Linked DNA regions of Coturnix japonica. The protein of the gene in region 1 interacts with the protein of each later gene in a biochemical or structural test. Links are inferred from orthologs where the notes say so. Each region holds a gene or a part of one and is shown in the gene's direction. Other genes may lie near its edges. The genes, in order: XIAP, HTRA2, UBE2D1, CASP9, HTRA3, PGAM5 and HTRA1.

What was found.
Region 2: the proteins of XIAP (region 1) and HTRA2 form a complex in vitro, tested with the Homo sapiens proteins (10 studies listed by BioGRID and IntAct, with this or other methods). The link is inferred for Coturnix japonica from reciprocal best matches to the Homo sapiens genes XIAP and HTRA2.
Region 3: the proteins of XIAP (region 1) and UBE2D1 form a complex in vitro, tested with the Homo sapiens proteins (8 studies listed by BioGRID and IntAct). The link is inferred for Coturnix japonica from reciprocal best matches to the Homo sapiens genes XIAP and UBE2D1.
Region 4: the proteins of XIAP (region 1) and CASP9 form a complex in vitro, tested with the Homo sapiens proteins (12 studies listed by BioGRID and IntAct, with this or other methods). The link is inferred for Coturnix japonica from reciprocal best matches to the Homo sapiens genes XIAP and CASP9.
Region 5: of the proteins of XIAP (region 1) and HTRA3, one has a biochemical effect on the other in vitro, tested with the Homo sapiens proteins (3 studies listed by BioGRID and IntAct, with this or other methods). The link is inferred for Coturnix japonica from reciprocal best matches to the Homo sapiens genes XIAP and HTRA3.
Region 6: the proteins of XIAP (region 1) and PGAM5 form a complex in vitro, tested with the Homo sapiens proteins (2 studies listed by BioGRID, with this or other methods). The link is inferred for Coturnix japonica from reciprocal best matches to the Homo sapiens genes XIAP and PGAM5.
Region 7: the proteins of XIAP (region 1) and HTRA1 form a complex in vitro, tested with the Homo sapiens proteins (2 studies listed by BioGRID and IntAct, with this or other methods). The link is inferred for Coturnix japonica from reciprocal best matches to the Homo sapiens genes XIAP and HTRA1.

What each region holds. Positions count from the first base shown.
Region 1 is NC_029519.1:14,635,339-14,638,838, reverse strand, and holds part of XIAP (E3 ubiquitin-protein ligase XIAP), read left to right. Parts: intron 1-532; exon of another isoform or gene 533-843; intron 844-2,712; 5' UTR 2,713-2,745; coding exon 2,746-3,500.
Region 2 is NW_015439533.1:471,450-475,490, forward strand, and holds the start of HTRA2 (serine protease HTRA2, mitochondrial), read left to right. Parts: upstream 1-1,241; 5' UTR 1,242-1,386; coding exon 1,387-1,724; intron 1,725-2,560; coding exon 2,561-3,029; intron 3,030-3,254; coding exon 3,255-3,287; intron 3,288-3,584; coding exon 3,585-3,693; intron 3,694-4,041. Other genes in the region: AUP1 (ancient ubiquitous protein 1), read right to left, coding at 1-149, 619-756, 1,030-1,079.
Region 3 is NC_029521.1:5,293,576-5,296,001, forward strand, and holds the end of UBE2D1 (ubiquitin-conjugating enzyme E2 D1), read left to right. Parts: intron 1-251; coding exon 252-345; intron 346-1,162; coding exon 1,163-1,208; 3' UTR 1,209-1,926; downstream 1,927-2,426.
Region 4 is NC_029536.1:4,283,036-4,287,298, forward strand, and holds the start of CASP9 (caspase-9), read left to right. Parts: upstream 1-1,463; 5' UTR 1,464-1,504; coding exon 1,505-1,636; intron 1,637-2,646; coding exon 2,647-2,860; intron 2,861-3,340; coding exon 3,341-3,421; intron 3,422-3,796; coding exon 3,797-3,828; intron 3,829-4,263. Other genes in the region: DNAJC16 (dnaJ homolog subfamily C member 16), read right to left, coding at 307-637, 1,107-1,173, 1,246-1,409. UniProt on the Homo sapiens protein: Involved in the activation cascade of caspases responsible for apoptosis execution. Binding of caspase-9 to Apaf-1 leads to activation of the protease which then cleaves and activates effector caspases caspase-3 (CASP3) or caspase-7 (CASP7).
Region 5 is NC_029519.1:73,404,434-73,408,577, forward strand, and holds the start of HTRA3 (serine protease HTRA3), read left to right. Parts: upstream 1-1,344; 5' UTR 1,345-1,649; coding exon 1,650-2,067; intron 2,068-4,144. UniProt on the Homo sapiens protein: Serine protease that cleaves beta-casein/CSN2 as well as several extracellular matrix (ECM) proteoglycans such as decorin/DCN, biglycan/BGN and fibronectin/FN1.
Region 6 is NC_029530.1:1,103,835-1,107,970, forward strand, and holds the start of PGAM5 (serine/threonine-protein phosphatase PGAM5, mitochondrial), read left to right. Parts: upstream 1-1,336; 5' UTR 1,337-1,393; coding exon 1,394-1,656; intron 1,657-2,153; coding exon 2,154-2,332; intron 2,333-2,602; coding exon 2,603-2,728; intron 2,729-3,106; coding exon 3,107-3,195; intron 3,196-3,475; coding exon 3,476-3,609; intron 3,610-4,136. UniProt on the Homo sapiens protein: Mitochondrial serine/threonine phosphatase that dephosphorylates various substrates and thus plays a role in different biological processes including cellular senescence or mitophagy. Modulates cellular senescence by regulating mitochondrial dynamics.
Region 7 is NC_029521.1:27,882,962-27,886,461, forward strand, and holds part of HTRA1 (serine protease HTRA1), read left to right. Parts: intron 1-133; coding exon 134-248; intron 249-367; coding exon 368-425; intron 426-1,284; coding exon 1,285-1,380; intron 1,381-3,177; coding exon 3,178-3,346; 3' UTR 3,347-3,500. UniProt on the Homo sapiens protein: Serine protease with a variety of targets, including extracellular matrix proteins such as fibronectin. HTRA1-generated fibronectin fragments further induce synovial cells to up-regulate MMP1 and MMP3 production.

The sequences.
Region 1 (3,500 bases):
TATATATATATACACACACTATATTAATACCTACAGCTTTCATGTTACTTCATGTAATTACTGAGTTTTACCCTTTGAAGGTCAAAGCAAGCATACAATTCAGACCTGTGGGTCAGTCAATATAATTTATTTGCTGTTTCTGAATTTGTTGAGCTACAATCATTCTGCAGTGTTATTACAGATGTTATTACATTAGTTACGAACCGACTTGCAGAACTAATTGCAGTTGGTGCTCAAAACCAGCCTTGTGCCCACAGCTGCATGCAGTAAGCATGATGCCGCTGATGTGTTTTCTCAACCTTCCTGCTGGCTCGTTTGCTTTGTCATTGTGGCAAAGTGCGCCATAATCTTTCTTTTTTTAAACTGGCTCAGATAAATGCTTCTCATTGAGTGAATGGAGCTGTCATAAAGGGTTGGGTTTGGGTGTGGGTGCTTGCTATAGCATTGCGCTGAGACCTTTGATGGCCATTACCCTGTCAATGAGGCAGGGTATCTGTCAAGTTGTGTGAGGCACAGGTAATAACTGATTGAAGGTTTCTCATTTGCTTTATCCCTCTTACTGTATAAGGTGCATTCCTGATTAGCACATGCAACAGAAGGCTGTAGTGGCTACCTGGGTGAGAGAGGCTGCTGTGTGCTGGCTCAGATGCATTCAGGACAGCGGAAGAGCTGCTGTAAACACCGGGGGAAGCCAGGTGCATCAAAGCTTTACTCTCAGGCACCAGAACGTCATTCAGCTGAAGAAGCACAGCACCCATTCTTGAATTTGGCACCCAAAGGTTGGATGGTTCCTCTTCTGGGGAAAGGGCCCTCTGTGCCAAAAGGGATACGTGCACCCATCAGGTGGGGGCTGTGGCCTGCAGGCAACCTGCACCAAGGCAGGAATCACACGCTTTGAAACTCTGATCTGTCCAATTGCTTTTCATTAATGATGTCCTACCCAGAACAAGTTAGGTAGGTGCTTACTTGAAGCATTTTTGTCTCAAATGGAGAGAGCAAAACAACAGTTTTGCAACAGAAATTACTTGGGGGATATGAAGATTTCCAGTGAAAATTGCCAGTGATGGCTGCTAGTTTTGCTTTAGGACTCTCCCGATCACTCTCTGTGCTCTGAAATCACTGTTGGCTCAGCAACTCTAGAGGGAAATGTCCTTTGACCAGTGACTGTGTCTTGGCATGCCCTGTATTTATTTGCATGGTACTGCTAAAAGAGGAATCAACCTTCAGTTGGTTGGCTTATTGGGAAGATTATTCATAGGAGTATTTGGGGGATTTTTAAAAGAAATGTCGCGCTATTTTACCCAGACTGTGTGTCATTTTTGTTGTAGGGTAAGGAGAGTTGTTCACTTGCACAGTTCTGTGGGTGTAGCTACCAAAGCACTGCTTTTGTGAGGCACTAAAAGAGTTAGTGTGTACTCAGAGCTGAGCTTAAACTGTGGCTTGTTTCTAGGCTGTGCTATAAGTCTGGTACATGTTTTTGGGAATAAAAATAAGGATAGATGAAAGGTATCTGTTGGATTTGACATTGCTGATTGTAAAGCTAAGCGTGCATTATCAGGGTTAACATCTGTCTTTGTAACGTTACAGTTAAAATATGGGAAACTTCTGTGATTTTTTTTTTTTCTAAATATTTTGTAGGCTTCATGTTGTGTAGAGCGAGAGGCCACAACTCTTGAAGTCTGCAACTGCTTTTGAGATGAAAAGGGTTGCTCTGTCTCGCTCTGTTCTGCTCAGCACCTGGGCAGCGCTTTTTGAATTGGGGAACCGTGAATGTAGCTTGGAGGATTTACCACATCCTCCAGCTGAAGATTGTTACAGACAAAACCAGCCAGGTTAATCTCTTGCCTGAGTCTCTCACTACATTTGGTAGAGCACTTTGGAGTCCTCTCCAGAGGAATTAGGGTATTTCTCTGTTGGGGATTTGGCAATGTATACCAGGAAATAGTTCTAATTTGTAATGCTTACTTGTACCTCATTTAATTTCTTTCCCTTTTCCCGTGTGGTAGTTACGGGTGGTTTGTTTTGAAATCATCAACATCAATACTTAAGGCCTGTTGAGTTCCATAAATTAGGTGTTTGATTTGGGGGAATATACTTTGTAACCTCTGAAAAAATAGTATTTTCTCTCATCCCGCTGCTACTTGTTGATCTTGTACCATTGCTTTGGCATGAGTGCATTCAAACAAGCCTCTTTCCTCCACCCTGATTTTCCTTCTGTTCAATCCTGTCTAAGCAGAGCTGACCAGTCAAAAAAAACATTCAGGTGTTTCTTGTAAAGGAATTACTGCATCCAGACAAAATTTGGCAGATGTTTTATTCTATTAGATTATTTAATTCTATAATTCCATGTTCTTATCTCAGAAGCCTTTTGTCAGCTTTTAGTTCTTCCTCAATTTTATTATTCTTGCAGTATTCCCTTCCAAAAAATAAAGCATTCTCTTAAATATGTGAACATGTAAATCTGTGTATGTTACAGGCAAATTCTTATTAGTCATGTTTTGTAACATATTCCTGTAATACTTCACAATCTTCCTGCCACTCCTTATGCTTTATCTTTATTTTGGTTTGACTCTGGAGGGGTGGGAGCAGGTAAGGAGGGAGGGAACAGGAGGAGACGTTAATGCATAAAACACAGCTAGTCGAATTTAGCTCATTTCCATGCTTGTGGATGTGTCCTTCTGTCTGAAGATAACATGTATATGCTTTGTTTAGGGAATTTGAAGGAAGAGCCCTACGTATGAGGAGATGACGTGTAATGGCCCGGATAACTCTGAACCTGGTGCTGCCCCAGCCACTGACAGTGACCAGGAGTGGTCCCAGGAACACTCCCGGCTAGGAACCTTTGTGGAGTTTCCCCGCGATTGTCCGGTTCCAGCATCAGCACTAGCTCGAGCTGGCTTTGTTTATACTGGAGAAGGTGATAAAGTCAAGTGCTTCAGTTGCCATGCGACTATTGAAGGATGGGAGCCTGGGGATTCAGCGATTGACAGACACAAAAACCTTTCCCCAGATTGCAGATTTATTACTGAGTCTGCTTTTTTGGAAAATGATGTACGTCCTCTTGCGCAGAGCCACCGGCATAGAACTGAAAACGGCTCCAGCAATTCAGCCCTCTCCTCTGCTCTGGAGGACTTGTCTGATGTGGAGGCAGATTACCTGTTGAGAACCAGGCAGGTTGTGGACATGTCTGACACTTTGTATCCTAAAAACCCTGCTATGTGCAGCGAAGAAGCCAGGCTGAAGTCCTTTCACAATTGGCCCCCCTATGGCCTATTGACTCCGAAGGAGTTAGCTGGTGCAGGACTCTACTATACAGGTGTCGGTGATCAAGTTGCATGTTTTTGTTGCGGTGGAAAACTGAAAAACTGGGAACCTGGTGATCGAGCTTGGTCTGAGCACAAGAGGCATTTTCCCAAATGCTTTTTTGTCCTGGGCCGGGATGTTGGAAATGTTTCAACTGAATCTATTTGTACAGAGCTTGGGAGAAGCTGTCTAAGCAA
Region 2 (4,041 bases), on another chromosome or scaffold:
TGTTGCAGGAGGTCAGCAGGTTGATGACATTGTGATCAAAGTGTGTGACGTGGTTGGCAATGTAAACCTGCACCGCAGCGTCACGGAGACGGGGACCGCTCTGCTGCACAAACAGCCCCAGCACTGAGCACATCACACGGACAATAAGGCTAAAGGAGGGAAAAAGGGCTCCCTCAGATGTGCAGTCTGAGCCACAGCTGCCTCAGAGAGCCGAGAAAACAGGAACCCGGGACTGGGGTTGGGAAAAGATATCGGTACGAAATGGGAATGACACGACAGACTGGAAGTGTTTGTGGGCCGCAGCTGAGAGCGGCCTGCAGGGCTGCCACCGCAGCAGGAAACACGGGGCAGGGGGCACCGGGCCCAGAGCTGACAACAGCGACAACAGCACCAATAGAACCAACAACACCAACAGCACCAATAGAACCAACAGCACCAACAGCCCCGTGTGTTTCCGATCGGAGCCGGGCGCAGCCCACAGCCCCGGCCCCTTCCAACAGAGCCGTTCCGTGACCGCAGGGCGCACAACGGCCCCGGAGCTGCCCGGGACCCCCCGCGGTAACGGCGGCCCGTCCGTAGGGCCCGGGATGAGCGGAGCCCGCCCGTCCCCGCACGCACCGTCGCAGCGTCCCGTCGGGCAGGATGCAGCTGACCAGGAAGACGTGCACCCCGATGAACAGCCGCAGCACGAGCAGACACAGCCCCACGGGAGCGTACAGCAGCAGCGCCAGCAGCACGAGCCCGTCACTGGGAAACCTGCGGGAGGACAACGGCAACGGTGGGCGGGGGGTCGGGATGGACGGGGGGGGTCGGGATGGACGGGGGGGGTCGGGATGGACGGGGGGGGGTCGGGGCGGCCGCTCAGCCCCACGCTCAGCCCCCAGCCCCCGCCCGGCCGCTCAGCCCCACGCTCAGCCCCCAGCCCCCGCCCGGCCCGGTTCCTCCCGCCCACTCCCGGGACGCCCCGTCCCGCCCCGCGGGGTCCCCCCGGCGGCTCCGGACGTTGCGGGCCCGGCGCCCGGCTCTCACCGCTGCGAGTCGAAGAGCCGCTCCGGGCCCGGCGCCGCGCTGCGCTCCATGCCGCGCTCCGTCCGTCCCGTCCCGCTCAACACCCCGCTCCACCCGCCGCCATCTTCCGCCGCCCGCCCGCACCGCGCGGGGCGCTCTGGGAGGAGCGCGGCCTTCCCGGCGTGCCCCGCGCCGCCGCCCTGAGCTCACGAGCGCGGCCTGGTCCGCCCGCGGGCGCGGCGCCGGCAGCGGCAGGAGCGGGAGGAGCGGGAGGAGCGGCGGCACCGGCGGCACCGGCGGCACCGACCAGCCCGACCCAGCCGCGCGTCCCGCTCCTGCTCAGCGCGCAGTTCCCGTCCTGCCCCGCGTTCCGGCGCTATGGCGGCGCTGTGCCGGTGGCTGCGCGCTCCGCCGGTCGCCACGCGCTGGGGCCGCGCGATGTGCGTGTCCGCCGCCAACCCCCGCCCGCCGCCGCCGCCCCCGCCGTCCTGCCCCGCCCCCCCCGGCGGACACCGGCTGCTGGCCGCCGCTCTGGGCGCCGGGACGGCGGCGCTGCTGCTGCTGTGGTGCCGGGAAGGCCGCCGTCCCGCGCTGCTCGCCGCCGTGCCCGCCCCGCCCGCCCCGCCGCCCGGTTCGCCCCGCGCCGCCTTCAACTTCATCGCCGACGTCGTGGAGAAGACGGCGCCCGCCCTGGTCTACGTGGAGATCGTGGGCAGGTACGGACGGCACCGCCCGGCACCACCCGCTGCCGCGCGGCCGGCCTGACTTACGGTCACCCTGCCCTATGGTCACCCTGCCTTATAGTCACCCTGCCTTATTGTCACCCTGCATTACGGTCACCCTGCCTTATGACCGGCCTCAGTGTCACCTGCATGGGCACTGCAGGCGCTGCTGGGAGCCCTCAGTTTACAATAGATGGTACCATGTTACTGTGGGCCTGGAAGTGTTTTCCTGCAGCGTTTGCCCCAGGCCGTTCCCAAAGGCAGAGGGTGAAACTGGCCGGTACTTGGGCCCCGGTGTCCTCACGTCCCCGTTGTCACGTTGCTTTGATGCCTTTTTTCATCAATTTAGAGCCCCCCTGAGCCACTCTGACTGTTTGAAGGTCACAAATAGACTCACAGGGACACCAGCTCACCCCGTGTGGCCCTCACAGCAAAGCTCTGTGTTCAGGTTGTGTCTTTCCATAACCTGAACTGCTTATCTGTCCCAAAGACACCAATGTCCACCGCAGCTCTTTGTTAGTGTGTGCTTCCCACTGCACCTCTGTGGTCCTCATGGGGAGACGCTTTTGCCATTCCCATGGATTTCTGGTTCCTGCTGCTTGCTGCCCCATAGCGCACACAGTTGTGCAGACTCTTGGGATGGACACCCAGCGCGGGGCTGTGAAGGAGCTCCCATGTCCTGCTGTCATCCGGGCATCTCCTCACAGTCTCCCGCTGCCGTCCAGCCCACCATGCTGAGCCATGCAGCTGCCCGCTGGCCTGGCCTCACACATACCCACTGGTCCCCTCTGGGCCCCCATGTCCTCCCATGACCTTTGCCCACCTTGCAGGCACCCATTCTCAGGCCGTGAGGTGCCCATCTCGAACGGTTCGGGGTTCGTGGTGTCTCCTGATGGGCTCATTGTGACCAACGCTCACGTGGTGGCCAACCGGCGCCGTGTGCGGGTGAAGCTGGCCAGCGGGGAGCAGTACGACGCTGTGGTGCAGGACGTGGACCAGGTCGCAGACATTGCCACCATCCGGATCAAGCCTAAGGTGCGGGGCACTTTGCCCAGGGGCTCCCTTCCTCTCCCGCCTTCTGCTTACCCGGTTCCTCTCTTCCAGCACCCGCTGCCCACGTTGCCCCTCGGCCGCTCCTCTGAGGTGCGGCAGGGAGAGTTCGTGGTGGCCATGGGCAGCCCCTTCGCCTTGCAGAACACCATCACGTCCGGCATTGTCAGCTCCGCGCAGCGCGGCAGCCGGGAGCTGGGCCTGACCGCCTCCGACATGGAGTACATCCAGACGGACGCCGCTATCGACGTAAGGGCGCAGGCTGGGCTGGAGCTTCGTCCCGCTGCCTGCTCTGGGGAAGGGCTCTGTGTGCTGTGAGGTCTGGGCACAGCAGGCTGGGAGGAGGGTGCTCCTGGTTGGTGATCTGGCTGTTTCTCAGCCTGAGCCCTGTTCCCTGGGCTCTGCCTGCTCACTGTGGGGTAGTGTTTGAGGTTTGCTTTTGTGGCCTCATTGCTGCTCTCTCTGTTGTTCCAGTTTGGGAACTCTGGTGGTCCCCTCGTCAACTTGGTAAGTTCTCCTGCATGTATCCCAGTGGGCCTTTTCTCCTGGGGCTGTGTGCCCTCAGTGGGAGCACTGTGCAAGTATCCTCAGCTGTCAGGAGGGAAGGAGGAACTGTGTGCTCTCGGCATCTTAAAGGGTGGGATCAAGGAATTAGCGTGGGGTGAGAGCTCTGCTTGGTGGGACTCATCCCTGCCCGGCCTCAGCAGGGTCAGACTGCCCAGGGGGGGACGGTGCGCAGGCTTTAAGTTTTGCACAGCTCCATAAAGGTGCAGGTTGGAGAACACGTTGCCCTTTTCCATGCAGGATGGCGAAGTGATTGGGGTGAACACTATGAAGGTGACATCAGGCATCTCCTTTGCCATCCCCTCAGACCGGCTGCGGAAGTTCCTGCAGAAGGAGGAGCAGCGCAAAAGTGAGTTGGATGCCTCTCTGCTCGGGTGGGAAGGAGGCCAGAAGGAGGGTGATGACAGAGGGAAGAAGCTGTGGCATAGCTGACATAACAAGACATGGGCATGTGGGCAGACATAACAAGAGGAAGAACCTTTGGAGAATAGGAAGATTCTCCCATTGGGCATGAGGCAGTGAACCCCTCTGCCATGGCAGATCCATTTGCTCATCTGCCACAGATAAAGACTTCCAGAGTTTCCAAGAACTCTGCCTTGTTTTTGTTCCTTGGGGTTTGTGATAATTTGTTTAGTGCAGATTCTTGCTGTCTGGTTCTCACATTGACATCATGATATTTGCTTGGTATTCTCAAGCA
Region 3 (2,426 bases), on another chromosome or scaffold:
ACACCAGATTTTAACAAGAAATAAATGGTTCTGACTGGCATTCCTCTAAGATGAACTTTAAGATGCAGCTGTTGTCTAAGTCATTGCTAAGAGCTGTATTCTATATTCCTGAGCAGGACTGCTGTCTGAAAGCTTCATACTTGTGTATTTCCTTTCCAGTCTTCCTTTCTTCATTTTGTGTACTGGTCTACATAAAGGACTGCAGAAACCAAGTGAACTAACTTGCTTAATTTGGTGTCTCTTTTATTTAGTTTTATTGTCCATATGCTCCTTACTTTGTGATCCTAATCCAGATGATCCTCTAGTACCGGATATTGCACAGATCTACAAGTCAGACAAGGAAAAGTGAGTATAACACAGATGTATTTGTGTGGTACTTGCAGATGGTGATTGGCTACAGCAGCCTGTCCATTTCCTTGAAAAATCCCTTTAGAGATATCTAATGGTAGAGTATTGGCTATTGAAATATTGACAGCATCTATTAGTAAAATAGCAGGAATCTGTAGGCATACACAACTGTTAGATATTTTTTTGCATAAAACCATCATACTGTTGTATGTTGTATGATGTTATTGAGGCTTGCTATTTGTGCAACGCTCCTATGGAGGGTTTTGAAGTGCTGTGATCTGGCTGCCTGCCTGGCTGAACCCCCACAAGATCAGATAACCGATGTAAAGGTCGCTTGCAAATCCAGGGCTTTGGCACTCCTGGAGTTGTGTTTCAGAGCCCTGTGTTCACAGGGTGGCTTCTTCAAGCACTGCAGCTTGAAGTAGTGACATCTGTAGATAGCCAGTCAAGTGATTCATCCATTTCTTAAGAGTTCATAGCAATTGCAGGTGGCAAGAAGCTCAAGCCCTGTATAGTGCAGACTAGACTGTGTGGTTTCTAAAGGTTCTATGGAGAAAATAATCCTTGTGAGGCAAAAGTTTTACAAACAGATCCAGTCCAGTTTACAAAGAGTGAAATAACCTGCCTGCGGGAGTTCCGTGATATCAACAAATATTTCTTACCTTGTAGAATACATTTGGGTACCTGTGGGTTATCTTTAGTGCTGAGTTACTGAAGATCTCTTGCAATGTATGCAAGTAGCCTATTGATTATTGCACGTCTTCATCAAGATCTAACAGCTCTTCACTGTAATGCCTTCTTTCCGCACATACAGATACAACAGACACGCGAGAGAATGGACTCAGAAATATGCAATGTAAACTTGTGAAGACTTTTTCATACACCACAGAGTACTGTAAATTCTAGTGTGTTTTTTTCAAACTTAGAAGGAAACGGAGCACAGCCGACTGTTGGAACGTCCCATCGAGCCCCTTGAATGTTTTCTTTTTCCACCCATGTAAGTGTGTTTCTGGAGCAAGGGAAAACTTCCAAAAATAACCTTATGACTGTGACGAGAGTATTTATCCTCTTTGTATGCTTTGCAGAAGACATTTATTATGGTTTTTAAGAGTTGGACATCTGCATCTTCAGACTGCGAGATCCTTAATGCAGTTGTAAAGCAGCCAAATTATTTTTGCTGGAGAGAAGTAGCCGTTTTTAAGTGATGATACTGTATGTGTGTCTTTAAGATATACGATCTGTTTCATAGGTGTGTTTGGATTTCCTTTTGCTAGTTCACATCTATAATTTGTATTTTTAATTGTATAGACTAAATATATTTTATTTACGGTGTAAGTCATTTCATTCTAGACTGACTTTCTCGTGCACGGTATTGACAACATACAACTGCTGGTGATGAAGGGATATCCTGCCCGCTCTGGGGTGTTCTAAAGACTGACTGCAGACTTCTTAAAACCTAAAATGCTCTTTGCACTGTAATTCTTGGTATGATTACGGACAGACACATGGTTTTGATTCTGTTGCATACTTGACTTAATTTTATTGCAATGTGAACTAATTGCACTGCTGTGTAGAAAAGATATGTAACCTTTTTGTTGCGTTTCACGACTGATTTTTGACACGTGGGCAGCATAACACGCAGACCTTTTACAAATCTAAATGTAGCCTTTTCCATATAAATAAAAATGGATTTTCTACTAGCTGTCCTGGCTGTTGGCTTGTTTCTTTCCCTTTTTCAATGCATGTACTAAGTGTGCTTCACTGTAATCAATGTTGGGTGGCCACTTCAAGGCAGGAGGGAAGGGGGCACGGTAGGAGCTTTGGTTCTGCCTGCAGGATCCTGCTGGCGTTACATCTGTGCTGTACCGATGAACTGTGAGCTGAGCTCCATGGGGAGCAGCTCTGCTCACTGATGGAATGTTTCGCGTTGCTATGAAAGCAGCGCTTTGTTGCAGGGGGCTCTGCGCTCACATTGCCTGCTGGCAGAGCTCGTTTCTTCCGCTCTCGGTTCCGTCCAGCCTCGTACCTTACGTACAACCGGTCTCCGATCCTCCCCAGCCCCTTGGGGTCACCTTGTG
Region 4 (4,263 bases), on another chromosome or scaffold:
GCCATACAGGATTTACACACCAGCCTTCAATCATGTGGTTATTTATTACCATGGCTGCTGGACTAAAATTAAGGAGGAAAGGCATCTTCCTCTTTTAACCTTGGGGGTGAACAACAGTGAAACCACCAGGAGCTGAAACTGTGAGTCAGAAGGAAAGCCTTGTTTATAATGCTTAGCCTCACTGATTTAGTTCTTACTAACACACAAGAGAGTGTTAACCTTGTGACCTAAACTCTGAGTCCTTCTATGGACCAGAACCTCATTCTGCAAGGAAATTCATGCTCAGCCCCAATGCTTCATCCTTACCCAGTGCCTCCAGTTCCTGAGCAACTTCCTTCCACACGGGCTCGATGTGGATGCAGCTGAAGCACCAATCCGAGGTGATTTTAATGAGGTACGGCTTCTTGAAACTATCTGGCACGATTTCATTGATGTAATGTGAAAAATGGAGCAAATACTTCTCGTCTGAGGTGTCACGTCTCTCTGAATTGAAGGGGAAGTGGAAGAAGGACTCATCAAAGTAGAAACCCTCATGGAAGTGGTGGAACTGGCGCTGCTGGTGTTGGGAATAGCCTTGGCTCTCTCCGGCATCTCCGTAGCGATCAAAGTTTGCTCTTTTTTCCTCGTTGGAGAGAATCTAGGAAGGAAATGAGTGAAGAAAGGTAACCCAGTGCAAAGAGTGAAAGGGTGACAGTGGTTATCCCTTAAGGAATGGATGTGGGAATACAAACCCACTGCAATCACAGAATCACAGAACTGTAGGGGTTGGAAGGGACCTCTAGAGATCATCGAGTCCAACCCCCCTGCCAAAGCAGGTTCCCTACACCACATCACACAGCTCGGCGTCCAGGCGGGTCTTGAATATCTCCAGAGAAGGAGATTCCAATGCCCTTGGGATGAATGCAGTAAGTACCAGCATCCAACCTGCACCATCCTATTGCTGTCACCTGTGAGCAGAGGCCAACCCCAGCTCACCACATCCTCTATTCAGGGGTTATAGGGAGCAATGAGCTCTACCCTGAGCCTCCCCTTCCCCATCCTAATACACCCCAGCTCCCACAGCAATGCCCTCATCCCCCTCCCAGCCCCCTGCAGTGCCCTCTCACCTCGTAGGCCTTGCTGATCTGGATGAACTTATCCTCAGCTCCCGGGTCCTTGTTCTTGTCCGGGTGCCTGCAGTTGGAAGGTGGAGCCGTTACCCATTGCCGTACCCCCCCACACCCCCCAGCCCGGCCCGCTCCGTACCACTGCCGTGCCAACCGCTTGTACGCCTTCTTAATGTCGGCCTGGCTGGAGGAGCGGCCCACACCCAGCACTCGGTACGGATCCCGCTCCGGTGCGGCCTGTGCCGTGATCAGCAGCAATAACAGCACCAACATCCCGGCCGGGCCCACCCGGCCCAGCTCCATGGCGGGCACCGGCCCCGGCCTCAACCCCACACCCAGCACATCCGGCCCGCCCGCCCGCCGACACCATAGCGACGCTTCCGCCTCCGGTGGCGGCCATGGAGGAGGCCCGGCGGAGCGCACTGCGGCGGGGTCGGCTGCGGCTGGTGGAGGGACTGCGGCCTGACGTGCTATGGGGGCCTCTGCGGGAACGAGGGGTGTTCACCAGCGCGATGGTGGAGGACATGCAGGTGGGCTGGGGGTACCGAGGCCTCTCGGGTCGGTGGTGGGGCCTTGTGTCCCCTCAGAACCTCTCGTCCCCTCAGTGACGGGGTTTGGGGTATCAGCTCATTTACAGGCCCAAGGGTGTCCCCTGCCCCCACAAGGCCTTTGTCAGGCTTTGAAAGGACCCGTGTGCCCCCAATCCCAAACCTTGAGGGATCCAGCATCATCTCAGCCCTGTGACAGCACCTGGGGGGTCCCTGTGTCCCTATTACCTGTAATACCTAGTCCCTGTATTACCTCAGCCTGGTGACAGAACCCCAGTGTCATATGTATCCCATGGAGTCCTGTGTCCCCACTATACCCATGACATGGCCCAGGGTACCCTATGAGGAGAGACTTAGGGAACTGGGTCTGTTTAGCCTTGAGAAAAGAAGGCTGAGAGTGGACTTGATTCAGGTTTATAAATACCTGAGGTGTGGGAGCCATAGTGGTGAGGCTGGTCTCTTTTCAGTAATGAGTGGGGACAGGACTAGGGGTAATGGGATGAAATACAGCATAGGAAGTTCCTTAATAAGAACTTCTTTACAGTGAGGGTGACGGAGCACTGGAACAGGCTGCACAGGGAGGTGGTGGAGTCTCCTTCTCTGGAGATATTTAAGACCCGCCTGGATGCCAAGCTGTGTGATGTGGTGTAGGGAGCCTGCTTTGGCAGGGGGGTTGGACTCCATGATCTCTAGAGCTCCCTTCCAACCCCTACAATTCTGTGATTCTGTGATACCCCTGTCTCCTCCACTGTCCATCTGCCTGGTGCCCTTCCCTTTGTTTCCACCTCCGTGATACTGTTAAACTGATTGAGAAGGTTTCTCTTATCCCCATGTTGATAAGCTGGGTGTATCCCCTGGTCCACTTATCCCCCAGAACCAGCAGTTCACGTTCCCTCCTGTCTCTATCTGTGGCCAATGCTGCAGTGGAAGCATCAGAGCTGAAGGGCTCAGGGAGCATCACTGAGGTTTATCCTGCCTTCCTTCCTCTGCAGAGCGCCGGCACCCGAAGGGAACAAGCACGACAGCTGGTCATTGACCTGGAGAGCCGTGGGAAGCAGGCCTTCCCTATATTCCTCTCCATCCTGAGGGACACCGGGCACGGTGACCTGGCTGACATGCTGGATGAGGGGTGCGGAAGCCCCATGTCCCCACCTGTGGATCTGAGGCCTGTGCAGCTGGAGCTGCCTGGAGAAAGGCGTGACAAAAGTAAGTAGTGAGAACGTGGTTCTTTGCATGGTGGAGTGTAGTAGCTGGGTTCCTTCTTGCTGTAGAAAGTAGGCTGTGAAGTCCTGGTTTTGTTATCCTCTGGCACAGGTCATAGTGGTGACTGTGTGACTTTGTTAGGAGGATGTTGTGCTTTCTGGTAGCAGAAGTGTTGAAGCCCCAGTTGTGCACTGGCGGCTTCCTTCTGCTTTTCACATGTAGCCTTTGTACTGCTGCACTGCAAACAGGTTTCAGTGTGGCTTTGCTACTCCTGTTCTGCCCTTTATCTGTTGGCGTGGCTCATACAGCTGTCATAAGAAACCTCACTGAACTCAGATAAAAGAAAAACAGAAGTGGTTTTGATCTGCCCTTGCAGTGGTGTAGCTGCAAGCTGTGGTCCTTAAGGGGAACAAGAGCTGCTTAATTCCAATGTAAAACTAGAAGGGGCAGAAGGAGAGAGATGACTTTCCCATGCCATTACAGGTGTGAGAACTACGGAATACTTGTCCATCCCAGTCCAAGCTGAGAGTGAGAGATTTCGGATGCCTCCAGCACCAGCCCAGGGTAAGGGTTGTCCTGCAGCCCTGAGTGAGGTCTGACAGCTCGTTGGTCAGTTCCTTGCTTGTCCTTGCACTGTGAATTGCAGACCAGTTCAGATGCATGCTAGCTGGGAGGTGACCCCAACTAAATAGTGTATGGTGTCCCAGGTGGGGATGAGCGTGTGCTTGAGGTCCAGGCTCTAACTGCTGAGACTCTTTGTGGTTTAAGAGATAAGAGCCAAATGCTGCTTCTGGTGGGTGATGGGGTGAGAAGGGGTGGGTGTCACTCACGTGTGACAGATGACAGGGCAAGGTTGATGTTAGTTCTGCGAAGAATAGGTGTAACATTTCATTGTTGAGTGCTGAGAGCTAAATCCCATTTCTCTGTGGTGTGTTGTAGGTTCAGCTGTTGACAAGAGCGACCACAGACTGGTTAGTATTCTAAATCCTCTTCTTTTCCAGTTTATTTGTCATAGTATTGGGGTTCTTTGCTGCCAGTCATTTCAGAGATTCTGCTTGCAAGGAGCTTGTGCTTTAAGAACTGAAAAGGCAGAGCAAGGCTGAAGATATTTAAGTGTTCACCCTCACGAGGCAAAGAACAGAATGTCCAAAATAAGGTCTTAGTGTGGCTTAAACTTCTTCTTAGACTGAAGAAGTCCCACAGCACAGAGCTGCTGCAGCTGGGAACAGTGCTGTGACATCCAGTCCTTGGTGCTGGGGCTGACGTGGCTGTAACCAGGGCAGTGTGCTCAGAGTGGGTCAATCCATTAGTCAGCTCCTCCTTGGGATCACACGAACCGTGCTGCAAATAACATGACATGGAGCTAAATATGGTGCTTAAGCACTTTCAAGTAAGACAGCTAGTGA
Region 5 (4,144 bases), about 59 Mb from region 1:
CTTCATGTGCAATTACAAAAGAAGCTAACTAATAAGAATATCAGTAGAGCTATGAAAAATTCTGTATTCTAACAGCAATAACACAGAAACTGCTATTTGTTCATAATCTGAAATACTTTCGCCGAGCTCTTCCTTGTAAATGTTATCACAAATAATGAAAACATTCATGTTTTATACACACAGAGCCCTTGTTTCCTTCTGATCTATGTTTCAGATTGAACACTTCATTTCAGGAATCTCCTGTCTCCATAAAGAGCAAGTTGGGATCAAAATATAGACTTCTTTTTCATATTTTATGTATTGCTTTGCAAAAAAAACAGCCAGTCTTACCTTTGCTGAGATGCAGCAAAATTTATGCCTTTTTCACCTTGAGCCACAAAATATCTTTAGCTGTCACCTATAGCTTTCTTTAAGAGGGACTGTAGCTCTCTGCAGAATCCAGTCTCGAATCCCGTCCTTATAACATGAGAAACAAAAATACCCTCAGCTTTCTGTAGCTGAAGATTCTCCCTACTCTACTCAAGGTCCTTAACTAGAAGACAGTACTAACGTGTCTCCACTTCTCCCTTCAAATGACTGTGAAACCAGGTGCAGCTGGTCAGTAAATTAAAGCCATCCACTGCCTACTTACACCCAGTCAGTGGGATGGTATCAAGAGGAAGCCCAAGGCACTACCTTTCAGAGCTGAATGAGTAGCATCTCTTATGTGATAAGGGAACTATGGGCAGAAGTGAAGGGTGAGTCATATGCAGCAAGGAAGGTTTGCCATGCTCGTTTGGTCTTTGGATGAGTTATGACCGAGGTCTCTCTTCTTAAGTTACTGTAAGGCTTCTGGAAGAAAGGGACAGCCTCTTTAGCTGTGAATGTTGCAATAGGACAAGGGGAAATGGTTACAAATTAAAAGAGAGGAGATCTAGATCATATATAAGGAAAGTTTTTGGCAGTGTGGTGAGGCACTGGAATAGACTGGCCAGAGAGGTGGTGGATGTCCCATCCCTGGAGACACTCAAGGCTGGATGGGGCTCTGAGCAACCTGATTGAACTGTAGCTGTTCCTGTTCATTACAGGGGACTATATGAACATTCTGAGTCTCTTCCAACTCAAATGATTCTACGTGGGGAGACAGAATAGTTTTCTACCCCTCTTTTCCCATAAGTTACAACTTCAGATATACACCTTCACACACGCAAACATATATATATCGTTATTTTAGAGCATCCTCTTGCCTCACACCTCCAGACGGCTGCAGCGGGGACCTCGGCCCTTCCCCCTGGGCAGCCAGTTCTCCAGGCGTCCCCGCCCGAGGGGAACGTGCGGTCCCTCCCTGCCCGGGGTGGGGCCTGGCGGTGGCGGCGCTCCGACGGCCGCTGCTGGAGGCGGCGGCGGCCCCGGGCTCGTCCCACATATACCCTCATCGCTTCGCTCGTCCCAGCTTGTCCTCATTGCCTCCTGCGGCCGCTGGGCCATGGCCGGGCCCCTCAGCGCTGCCAGCTAGTCCCGCAGCTTCGTATTCCAGCCTCCGCCTTCCCGTCTGTTGCTGTCTGCAAGGACTTCCCCACCCGTGTGCGCACTATTCGACTTTCCCGTTCCTCCCTGCACCGTGACTGCACTTTTCCCCTTTCTTCCTCGCTCCCCTCCTGCCGCCGAGGATGCGGCTGTCGCTGCTCAGCTCGCTTCTCGTTCTCTGCATCAGCCGCGGCTTCGCCGAGCTCCCGGCAGCCCGAGCCAAGTGCCCGACCCGCTGCGATGTCTCCAAGTGCCCCAGCCCCAGCTGCCCCAGCGGATACGTCCCCGACCGCTGCAACTGCTGCCTCATCTGCGCCGCGGGAGAAGGGGACTCGTGTGGCCGCAAGGAAGACCCTCCCTGCGGGGACAGCCTGGACTGCCGCTACCCCATGGGCAAGCGCTTCGCCAAGGGGGTCTGCCAGTGCAAGCTCAGCGCTCAGGTGTGCGGCAGCGACGGCCTCACCTACGATAACATCTGCCAGCTGAAGGCTGTGAGCCGCAAGGCGCTGCAGCACGGGCTGCCCGCTGTCGCCCAGGTGCAGAAGGGAGCCTGTGAATCGGGTAGGAGCATGGCGGGGCCTGATGCGGGGCGAGGGCTTCATGCAGGGGTGGGAAGAGGTGAGGGTTGGGGTGGTTAGGAGAGCTGGGGGTTCCCCCAGGGCCAAACAGTTCACCCTGTTGCTGGTAATCGCTGTGGTGTGGATCAGGGGCACGTGAAGGGGATCAGGTTCTCTGTGAGCAGCACAGATCCCTCTTCTTGATCCTGTGGTGGAAGCTGGGAAGGTTGTACGGTGGTGGCATGGCTGTGGATACCACAGGCACAGCTGTCGGATCAGTGCAGCACTGACACCCTTCACAGTCATCATCTAGGCAGTGCCACAAGTTTGCCCTGAAACCATTCACATCACTCTTGTTTTGGAGCCATAAAGTCATTAAGGTTGGAAAGACCACTAAGTTCATATAGACCAAACATGGACCTATGCCTGCAACGTCTCTAGACTATGTCCCTCATTGTCAAGTCTGCTCTTTTTTTTTATGAGAACTTCCATGGATGGTGACTCCTCCACGTCCCTGGGCTGTCCTTTCTAATACTTTACTCTTCCTGAGAAGTTTTTCTAACAGCAAACCTGAACCTCCCATGGTACATCTCAAAGCCAGTATCTCTTCTCTTATTGCTTTTACCTGGGAAAAGAGGCTGACCCCCACCTCACTACAAGCTCTTTTCAGGGAGTAGTACAGAACAATAAGGTCTCTCCTGAACCTCCTCTTCTCCAGACTGAACCATCCCAGGGTTGGCACTCGCTATTGATGTGTTTCAATGACATTACATGCCTGGGCTGCCCTGCAGAGCCATTATGGCACATCCTACACAGAGCACAGCCTGCAAGTGTGCTCTGAGACCTTCCCTGGAGATGTTAGCAGATGTTAATTGTATTTACCAGATGAGTATCTCTAGCAAGAAGTGCAGGTTAAGGCTGTATTGCTCAAACTATGCAGAAAAAGCACCAGATAGAAGACTATGTTTCACATGTTCTGTTTTATTTTCCTCTGACAGGAAATGCTGTAGCTGTAGTCTTGAGGAATTGAAAGGGGAATGGATGCCTACGAATTTTACTTATGGTTTAAAATCAGATCAGATAGTCCTTTGTTTATCAGTAGGATACTACGGCCTCTGCTTGTCCTAGGCTATTGTAATAATCTGTGATAACCTCAGGCTGGATGGTATAACTTTAAAAAGCTTAGTAACCACCTACATTGCTTTTTTTATTTTATTTTTTTGTCAGTGTTACTAAAATTGGTCACTTCGTGGAAGTGTTAACATTTCTAGTTTATTTTCACACACTTCCTTGTATATTATTTTAAGATTGTACTTATACATCTTTTCGCATACAGTTCCTGGAAAGAAGAATCATATGTGTAGCAGGGTTTTAAATCATGTATTAGTGCATGTATCTTTTCGGAGCCCAGAATTACTCGGATGCTAACCTGGAGATGTGATGATCAGTCTCTCCTGTATTTTGCAGTTATAAATTGCTGTTTGTTTCTTTGTGTTCCCCATAAGCATCCATCAGCTTTAGTACTCCAACTAGTTGGTTGGAACTGATCCACTCGACATATCTAGAGTGTTTACCCAAAATGAGTGAACTAGCCTGCATCTAGGGGCTAACATACTGTCAGGGGGTTGGCGTGTATGACATTCTCTTTAAGAAATCCTCCTGAGCCTACTGTTTAAAAGGCTTAGGAATTCAGAGTGTTGAGGTAGAAGTAATGCTTTTTTTTCAAGCAACTTTTTTAGTATTCACTTTATTTTGGCTTTATGTTTTGTTCTGGTTAACCTCAGCTTAGTTGAAGCATCTGGTTCTCTGTGAAGTTCTAATTTTTTTTTACTCAGTTCTACAGCTGTACAAACTGAAGCTCAGAGAATCTAAGTGTCTTGCCCAAGGTCATATTGAGCTGGTGGCTGAGCCAGGAATAGAAGTCAGTTATGGTACTTCTTTTCGTTGTATTTTTTTTCTTTTTTTTTCTTTAACAACAACATGCAATGTCTGTAATGAAAGGTTTTAGAAGAAAATCAACAGTTTAAAATTACTGTCGAGTGTCTCTATTTTCCCCACTGGTGAAAGAAATCTGGCCTCAG
Region 6 (4,136 bases), on another chromosome or scaffold:
CCTAGACTAGAGTCAAGATCTGAATCAGATCCAGCATGGATTTATGTAGGCTTCCTATCATGCCAGAATCTCCCCAGATTTGATGTTGTGTTTCACCAATGCGGTGTTTGTGTGGCTGTGTTAAACTCTTTGGTGGAGCAGTCAGATACGATCAGAAAGCCAATAGAGCAGCTTCCAAATCTCTTTCTTCATTTTCTTTTTAAACTTGTCAAGTCATACAAACCAATGATGCTTAAAAGCAGTATTTCTTGCCCTCTGAAACAACTATTAAATGAGCTCAAGTCGACTTTGTTTTATAACCCAATAGTTTAAACTCGTGTATCATTTAAATGTTGCTGGGCCTGAAGCAAGCCAGGATGACATCAGTGTTTCCTTCCCCAGGGCCAGCAGTGAGCCCGCAGTGTCTGGATGCATTTGGAGCCCATGACCTCATGTTTCCTTGCCTTTCTCTCCTCTTTTGCTAATAACTTTACAGCTGCATTTTGCATCATGCGAGATGAGCACGATGGGCGCACTGCGGGTCTCAGCAGCACTAACAGGATGATGCCATTAGCGGGTACCATCAGTCGTTGTTATCCTCTTAGGGGGATTTTCTGCTCACGGATGAAACTCAACACAATGAAATGGGATTAGAATTGTAGTCATATGAGTATTAAAACAAACACACAAACTGAGAGCGTGGAGTGAAGCAGCCAGTGATGCTGTGCAGGGCGCTGTGTTTGAGCTGTGGGTGCTGCTGCAACAGCTCGTTGTTCTCAACCTGGTTGACTTCAGGCTTTACAGAAGGGTAAACTTAATAACACTGAGCTGGCACCGAGGTACAGGTTTGGGATTTCAGTTCGTGCAATTGGGCTGTTTTATTTTGTTGTATTTTTGAGGAATTGCTGTGTTTGTCCCATCCGGCCTCAGCCCAGCCGCAGGTTGGGACCACATGCATGGGCAGCTCTGTCGGCTGCTGGGGAAAGGGGAGCTCTGTGGAGGTTTGGATGTTCTGTGTATCAGCTTGCTTTCTTCTCATCTCTTGATGTTAAAGCAGGCATATAGTAATGAGAGCACAGTGAGCTGCAGCTCCACGGTGTGGGCATGGGAGGAGCGCCGGGCTGTGTGTTATGGGGGCTGTGTGTTACGGGATGTGTGTTACGGGCTGTGTATTAAGGGATGTGTGTTATGGCTGCTGGGGTTGTGCAGCGTTATTGAGATGCTGGATGTGTCTGTGCAGGGACGGGCGGGCTTAGGGCCTATCTGCGGGCAGCAGAGAGCTGCCGTGTGCCGTTCCGTTCCGTTCCGTTCCGTTCCGTTCCGTGCAATATTGCCCCTCTCCGCTCTCCGTCCGGGGCGGAGCTGCTCGTTGCGGGCGGCTCGTGGTTGTGAGGCACGAGGCCGGTCCCCCGCCATGTCGTTCCGCCGCGCCCTGGCGTTGGCCGCCTGCGGGTTGGCCGGGGGCTCCGTGCTGTTCTCGGCCGTGGCCGTGAGCAAACAGCCGGCACGGGGGGACGCCGAGCCGCGACCAGGGGGGGGATCCGCCGCCGCTCCCCCCGCCCCCGCAGCGCCGCAGGGTTTGTTGCTGCTGCCGCCCGCCGCCTCCTGCCCGCCGGGACCGGGTTGGATCGAGCGGCCCGCGGGGAGCGGCGGGTTCTGGGACAGCAACTGGGACCGGTGAGAGGGGACGGGGGGCGACACGGGACGGGGGGGCGGGCGGTACCGAGCGGCCGGGACGGAGCCTGTTGAATGGGGCGGAGCGGGACCGACAGCTCCGCGATACGGGAACAACCGACATGTTGGAGGCACCGACGGGACCGAGCCCAGCACCGGGCGGCACCGCCATGCGATGCCATGAGATGCCATGCAATGTGATGCGATGATATGATGCGATGCGATGTGATGATGTGATACGATGTGATGCGGCCTGTGCTCTGCTGGGGGGCTGTGGATTCATTTAGCGGTGGCTGTTGCCAAATTGCTTGGCTCTATCGCTCAGTTATAAGCCATAATTAATTGATGTTATCGGTAGCTCCAGCGCAGTGGTTTCGATCCGTTTTGCAAAACAATTGGTTAATTATGTTAATTAAACAGCCCGTTTCGGTGCTTATAACTGCAGCGGGGTTCTTTATCTGTGCAATTCCTGTCTCTGGGTTCTCCACTCACCCATCCAGGCGTGAACCGCTGGCTCTCATCAACCTCAAGAAGAAGAACGAGGAGACAGGGGAGGAGGAGCTGAGCTCGCGGCTGGAGCACTGCAGGGCCAGGGCCACCCGCCACATCTTCCTCATCCGCCACTCGCAGTACAACCTGGACGGCCGCGCCGATAAGGACCGGACACTGACCCCGCTGGGTAGGTGGGCTGGGGTAGTGATGATCAAGCCCAGCCATGGATGAGAGCTGCTGGCCTGGCAGCACAGGTCGGCAGCACAGCTCTTCTGTGGGAGAAAACACTGGATTTGATAAAAAACATAAAGGAATTTCCAGCTGAGCAGGTCTTCCTGCTGGCCAATGCAGCTGCCCTTGGCTGTGGTTTGTCTTAAACCAAGCTCCATAATGACCTTTGAGGGTTCCCATTATCCAATGGGTCTGGTTTGTTAATTTGCTGATTTACTCTCTTAAGGTCGAGAACAGGCCGAGCTGACGGGACACAGACTGGCAAGTTTGGGGTTAAAGTTTAATCAGATCATCCACTCCTCCATGACCAGAGCAACCGAAACAACTGAAATTATAAGCAAATACCTCCCAGGTGAGTGGCTTCTGTTGATTTCTCAGTATCTCCTGATCCTTCAGACTGCTTCCAGTGGGATTCTGAGCTAGTCCTTGGCTTACAGTGTAGCTGAGATGTTAGTAATCAACTTCTAGACCAGTGTGAAGGAAGCTGGCTGCCCTCCTTCTGCTTGTCGCCAGTTTCTCTTTAAAACATGAAGGGGGAGCTGCCCCTCAGTAAGATGCTGGCACCTCTGTGTGCGGGACAGCTCTGCTGGCTGCTCTTCCCTTAAGTGTTGTGTAAAGCAAGGACTGCTGCAGGTCAGCAGGGAAGAAATAAGTGTTGGCAGCAGAGTTGTGGGTCTGTAGGAACATGTGGGGTAACAGCTCCTTTCTGAAAGCATGTTTCATATTTTAGGTGTCAAAAAAATTAGCACTGATCTGCTGAGAGAGGGAGCACCCATAGAACCGGACCCTCCCGTCTCCCACTGGAAACCAGACGCTGTGGTAACCTTTGTTCCATGTTTTTCCCTTTCTATGTTTTGGAGCATACTTTATATGGGTGATGGTAATGAATATATATGGTTATATAATGGTGAGCTGATGCTTTTCATCATAGACCTTAGATAAATACTTACTTTTTACTCCTCCGTAAGCGTACAGAACCCCTAAAATAATTAAGAATCCCTGTGTGTTAATTGAGCCTCAAGTGTGCATCTTTAACAGATGCAGCCAACGTGCAAACGCTGCTCTGAGCTGTGTTTAAATCTGAACTCTGTGCCATTAGCAGTATTACGAAGATGGAGCTCGAATTGAGGCTGCGTTTCGAAACTTCATTCATCGGGCTGACGTGAAGCAGGAGGAGGACAGCTATGAGATCTTTGTCTGCCACGCCAACGTGATCCGCTATATTGTCTGCAGGTGTGTGTTGGACTGCGTGCTGTGAGGTGGAGTTGTGCTGGATTAGCATTGCTGTATTTATTGCACTGTTTGAGCTGGGGGGTGTTTGTGTGCCGTGTTAGAGATGGCTGAAGGTGGGCGCTCACAGCAGGAGCAGCTGGTCCTGCAGCTTCACCACAGGGTGAATTTGGTGATACAGGGTTTGAAAATTAGAACGCTTTCAAGTGAAATCGTTGAGGCTTGATGCCCTTTTGTACATCTGTCTGTGAGATGATGTGTTTTGAGCAGGACAGATGTGATTAAGCCTTAATCTGATCAACAGCTACAACAATTTCAGTGCATTTTTTTTAGCTGAGTCTGCCCTCTCTGCAGAGCTCTGTGAAATTGCTGTACTTAAAGCTATTGATCAGGTTCACGGAGTATTGTTTGCTGTGCAAAAAGGGATTGTCCTTCTGCTCCCCAGGCTTCTGAAATACCTGTGTGCTTTTCCTCATTGCTTTCTTCCATCTTCTTTTCACCTTACCCTCTATATCTGCCATTTCAGGCTA
Region 7 (3,500 bases), on another chromosome or scaffold:
AAGGAACTTCAGAAAACAAGCCCAGCTACAGAATTGTTTTGCACCTTTGTCTTTGTGATTGCTCAGAAGAAATAATCCCTTTCACTTTGTGATGTGCATTTCACCTTTAACAGCAATTCCTCATTTTCCCCAGGATGGTGAAGTCATTGGAATTAACACACTAAAGGTTACGGCTGGGATCTCATTTGCTATTCCATCTGATAAAATCAAGAAATTCCTAACTGAATCCCATGACAGACAAGCTAAAGGTAACGTACCTCTATCTAACTGCTGTTAGATAGATTTAATATAGTGAGCCAACAACCCACAAGGCTCTCTTCCCTGTTGGATAAGAGCCACTGATGAAGGCCTGTTTTACTTTTTGTAGGAAAGGCTATAACCAAAAAGAAATACATTGGCATACGAATGATGTCTCTAACTCCTAGGTAAGTAAAAGTGGGAAAATAGTTCTTATCTTGCTGAACTGAGATCATTTCACATGGGCTTGGATCAAGCTAGCAGTCTACAGGAAGGGGCAGAAAATTGCTGATGCCAACTCTTCCCAGTTTCTCTTACCTTCTGTTGCTGTGTCCATTACACAGTTGGACTCCTCTATGGACTTCCATATGAGCTGTTGTCCAACAGCTCCCTGGCTTTTGATTTTATTCCTTTAGCACTTTATAAGAGAAGATGTAGCAATTGTTAATTTGTCCTGGTTCAACTGCTGCTGCTGCTGTCTATCCTGCCCTGCCACCATGGTCAAGGATCGCAGCAGCTCCACGCATAGCTTCATTTGTAGGAAATGGTTTTGATTAAGATCACTTAATGTGAAATGAAGCTTTCTGGTAGACTTTGCTTATTCAAACTCAAACCAGAAGAGAGCAGGTTATGTTAATAGGAATGATCAACAAACACTCTGTGTGTGTGCTAGGCTACGATAGATGGACTGTTACTACTTTCCCTAGTAGAGCAAGCCATCAGTTTGCATTTCACTATGCCTAAGGATCAGCAGCATGACAAAGCACTGAAAACTGGAGGCTTTTTTAGGTGTTCTGAATCTTCTAGAACTAAAGTCCAAGTTTTTAAAAAGCTGGTCTTTTCTACTGCCAGAAATAAGCAGTAAAAGCCATTTGCATGGAAAAGTGTGATAATTCTTGATATACTTTTAAGGGTTAAAATGAATTGTGAGGTGTCACATCAACATGTGTAAAATATCCCAGCTGTTAAATGTTAACTGAGTAAGAATCCATGCTTTTCTCCCCCATGTTGGCACAATATTCTTATGGATGCTTCTTCATTTTCCAGCAAAGCTAGAGAGCTGAAAGATCGCCATAAAGACTTTCCTGACGTTGTCTCTGGGGCCTACGTTATTGATGTCATTCCAGAAACACCAGCTGAAGCGTAAGTTGGAGCGCTTTACTCTCAAAACCACTGCCACTGTCTGATGGAGGGAATGTTCCATGCTTAGCTGGCTATCCTGGTTAAGCTAAATGAACAGAATTGCGACCATCTGATAGCTATTAGGTCGTCAGCTTGAAATCAGTTTGTGGTTTTCGTTCATTCCCTGATCAGCAATAATGTAGATGTGCCAGCACGTTGCTGCAAAGCCCTGTCAGAGTTCCCAGCTGAAAGGGCAAGGAGTCGGGGAGCATGAAAATCATTTTTCTCAGCCATCGCTTCCAAGAGCTCTGATGTACCAATGCCAGGGATGAGTTGGAGCTGATGGCTTGTACGTGTTCCTGCAACCCTGCAGGTCACTGCTGTGTGAGGGCAAGGGGGGACATTTTGCTCCTGCTTTGCAAGGATGTGGCTGGCTTCTTCTGTGCTTGCTAATGGCAAATCCTGATGCACCTCAGTTTGAGGTGAGATCTTTTGGCATGGAATGTTGCTCTACGTGAGACCTTTCCAGGAGCAACGCTGCTGGGAAGAGCTTTTGGGTTTGGCCAGCTGATATTTTCCTCAGTGTTACTCAGCACTGCTCAGAACCTCAAAGGCACTGCTCAGTGCCATGCTTCACGGGGTGCCTTGCTGAAGGCCTCCAGTCAGCGGGACTGGGCTGGCTGTCTCATGTTGGCAGCGCCTACCTTCTAGAGTTTGGTTAATACAAAATTGCTCAGTGATCCAGAGCAGGAAATAGGAAACATTGTCCATTTTCTGCAACTGGAGGTCATTTAAGAAAGACATAAATTTGTGGCAGCGAAGAAGCAAATGTAGCACCAAACACTTAGGCAGAAAGCTTCTCGGTGTCACTATATTTGATCACAAGGGGATGGTTGGATGATCCCTGTTTGTCAATAAGAGATGTAATGTAATAATAACACATGTTAATTGCCCTGATGAGCAGTTCCAAATTGAAGGAGCAGGAAAAAACATTGCAGTGATAACAGTAGTTAGCAGAGGGTGAGAGCAGGACGTTAGGTAGGAAACAGTGAGGTAACAAAGCCTTGCAATGTGAAGGCAAACTCGAGATGCTCCATTTGGGCAGATATTCAGGGGAGTCTGCAGCAGCTTACATGGGGATTTGAGTCAAGAGCAGGAGCCTACCAGTGTGAGACACCCAGGGATGGATTCTCTGAGGAAAATGCTGAAAGCCACAGCTAAAAGTAGGCAAGCAGATTTGTTAGCAGGCTGACAACGTTGGCCGAGGCATCCTGCTTACAAGAGGCACTCATGTAAAGCATTTTCTGCGGGCGGAAGAAGCCTATGACTGGTCTGTGGTTTTGTGAAAACGGATTATGCTGAAGGGCTGAATCATGTCTGATCTGGTTTCTTGGTTAATATTTCCATGACTTGGAGCCAGATTGTTGTGCAAGACCAGGCAAGACGCTGTGGTTGATGGTATCCCTCAGCACCCCGTTTGTGTTGGTCCCAGAAGGAGTCTGGGCAGCCCTGGGCAGAGGAGCCACATTGGGCCAGCCCCATTTGGTTGGTGTCTGGTGGTTGTGTCTGGCTTCTATAGGCACCCAAGCGCTCCTGGTGACTGAGTTAGATCGATGTATGGTTAAAATATGAATGGCTGCCAAGCAGTATGTGCACAGCTACATAAATTCTGTTTGCTTTTTGGGGGCCTGCTCTGTCTGTCTGACTACTGTCAGGTGTGAAAATGGAAATACTCAGTGCCTTTTGGTTCGGCTGAAAAGTACAGTGAGGGTAATGAAATGGCCCTAACAGTAATTCGTTGTTCCTTTGTCTTTTCAGTGGTGGCCTGAAGGACAATGATGTGATTATAAGCATCAATGGACAGTCGATAACTTCAGCCTCTGATGTCAGTGACATTATTAAAAAGGACAGTACTTTGAACATGGTTGTTCGCAGGGGTAACGAAGATGTTATGTTAACAGTAATTCCTGAAGAAATTGATCCCTAACCAGAAACATGAGCTGGATTTCATGTTTTCTTTTAACAGCATTGGACTGCTTATATTCTCTCTGTGCTGGTACAGGAAACGTTAGACTTCTGACCAACGTTCTGCTTCTTCAGCGGATTAGTATTGGCCAACAGAATAACTTCTAATAGGTTTA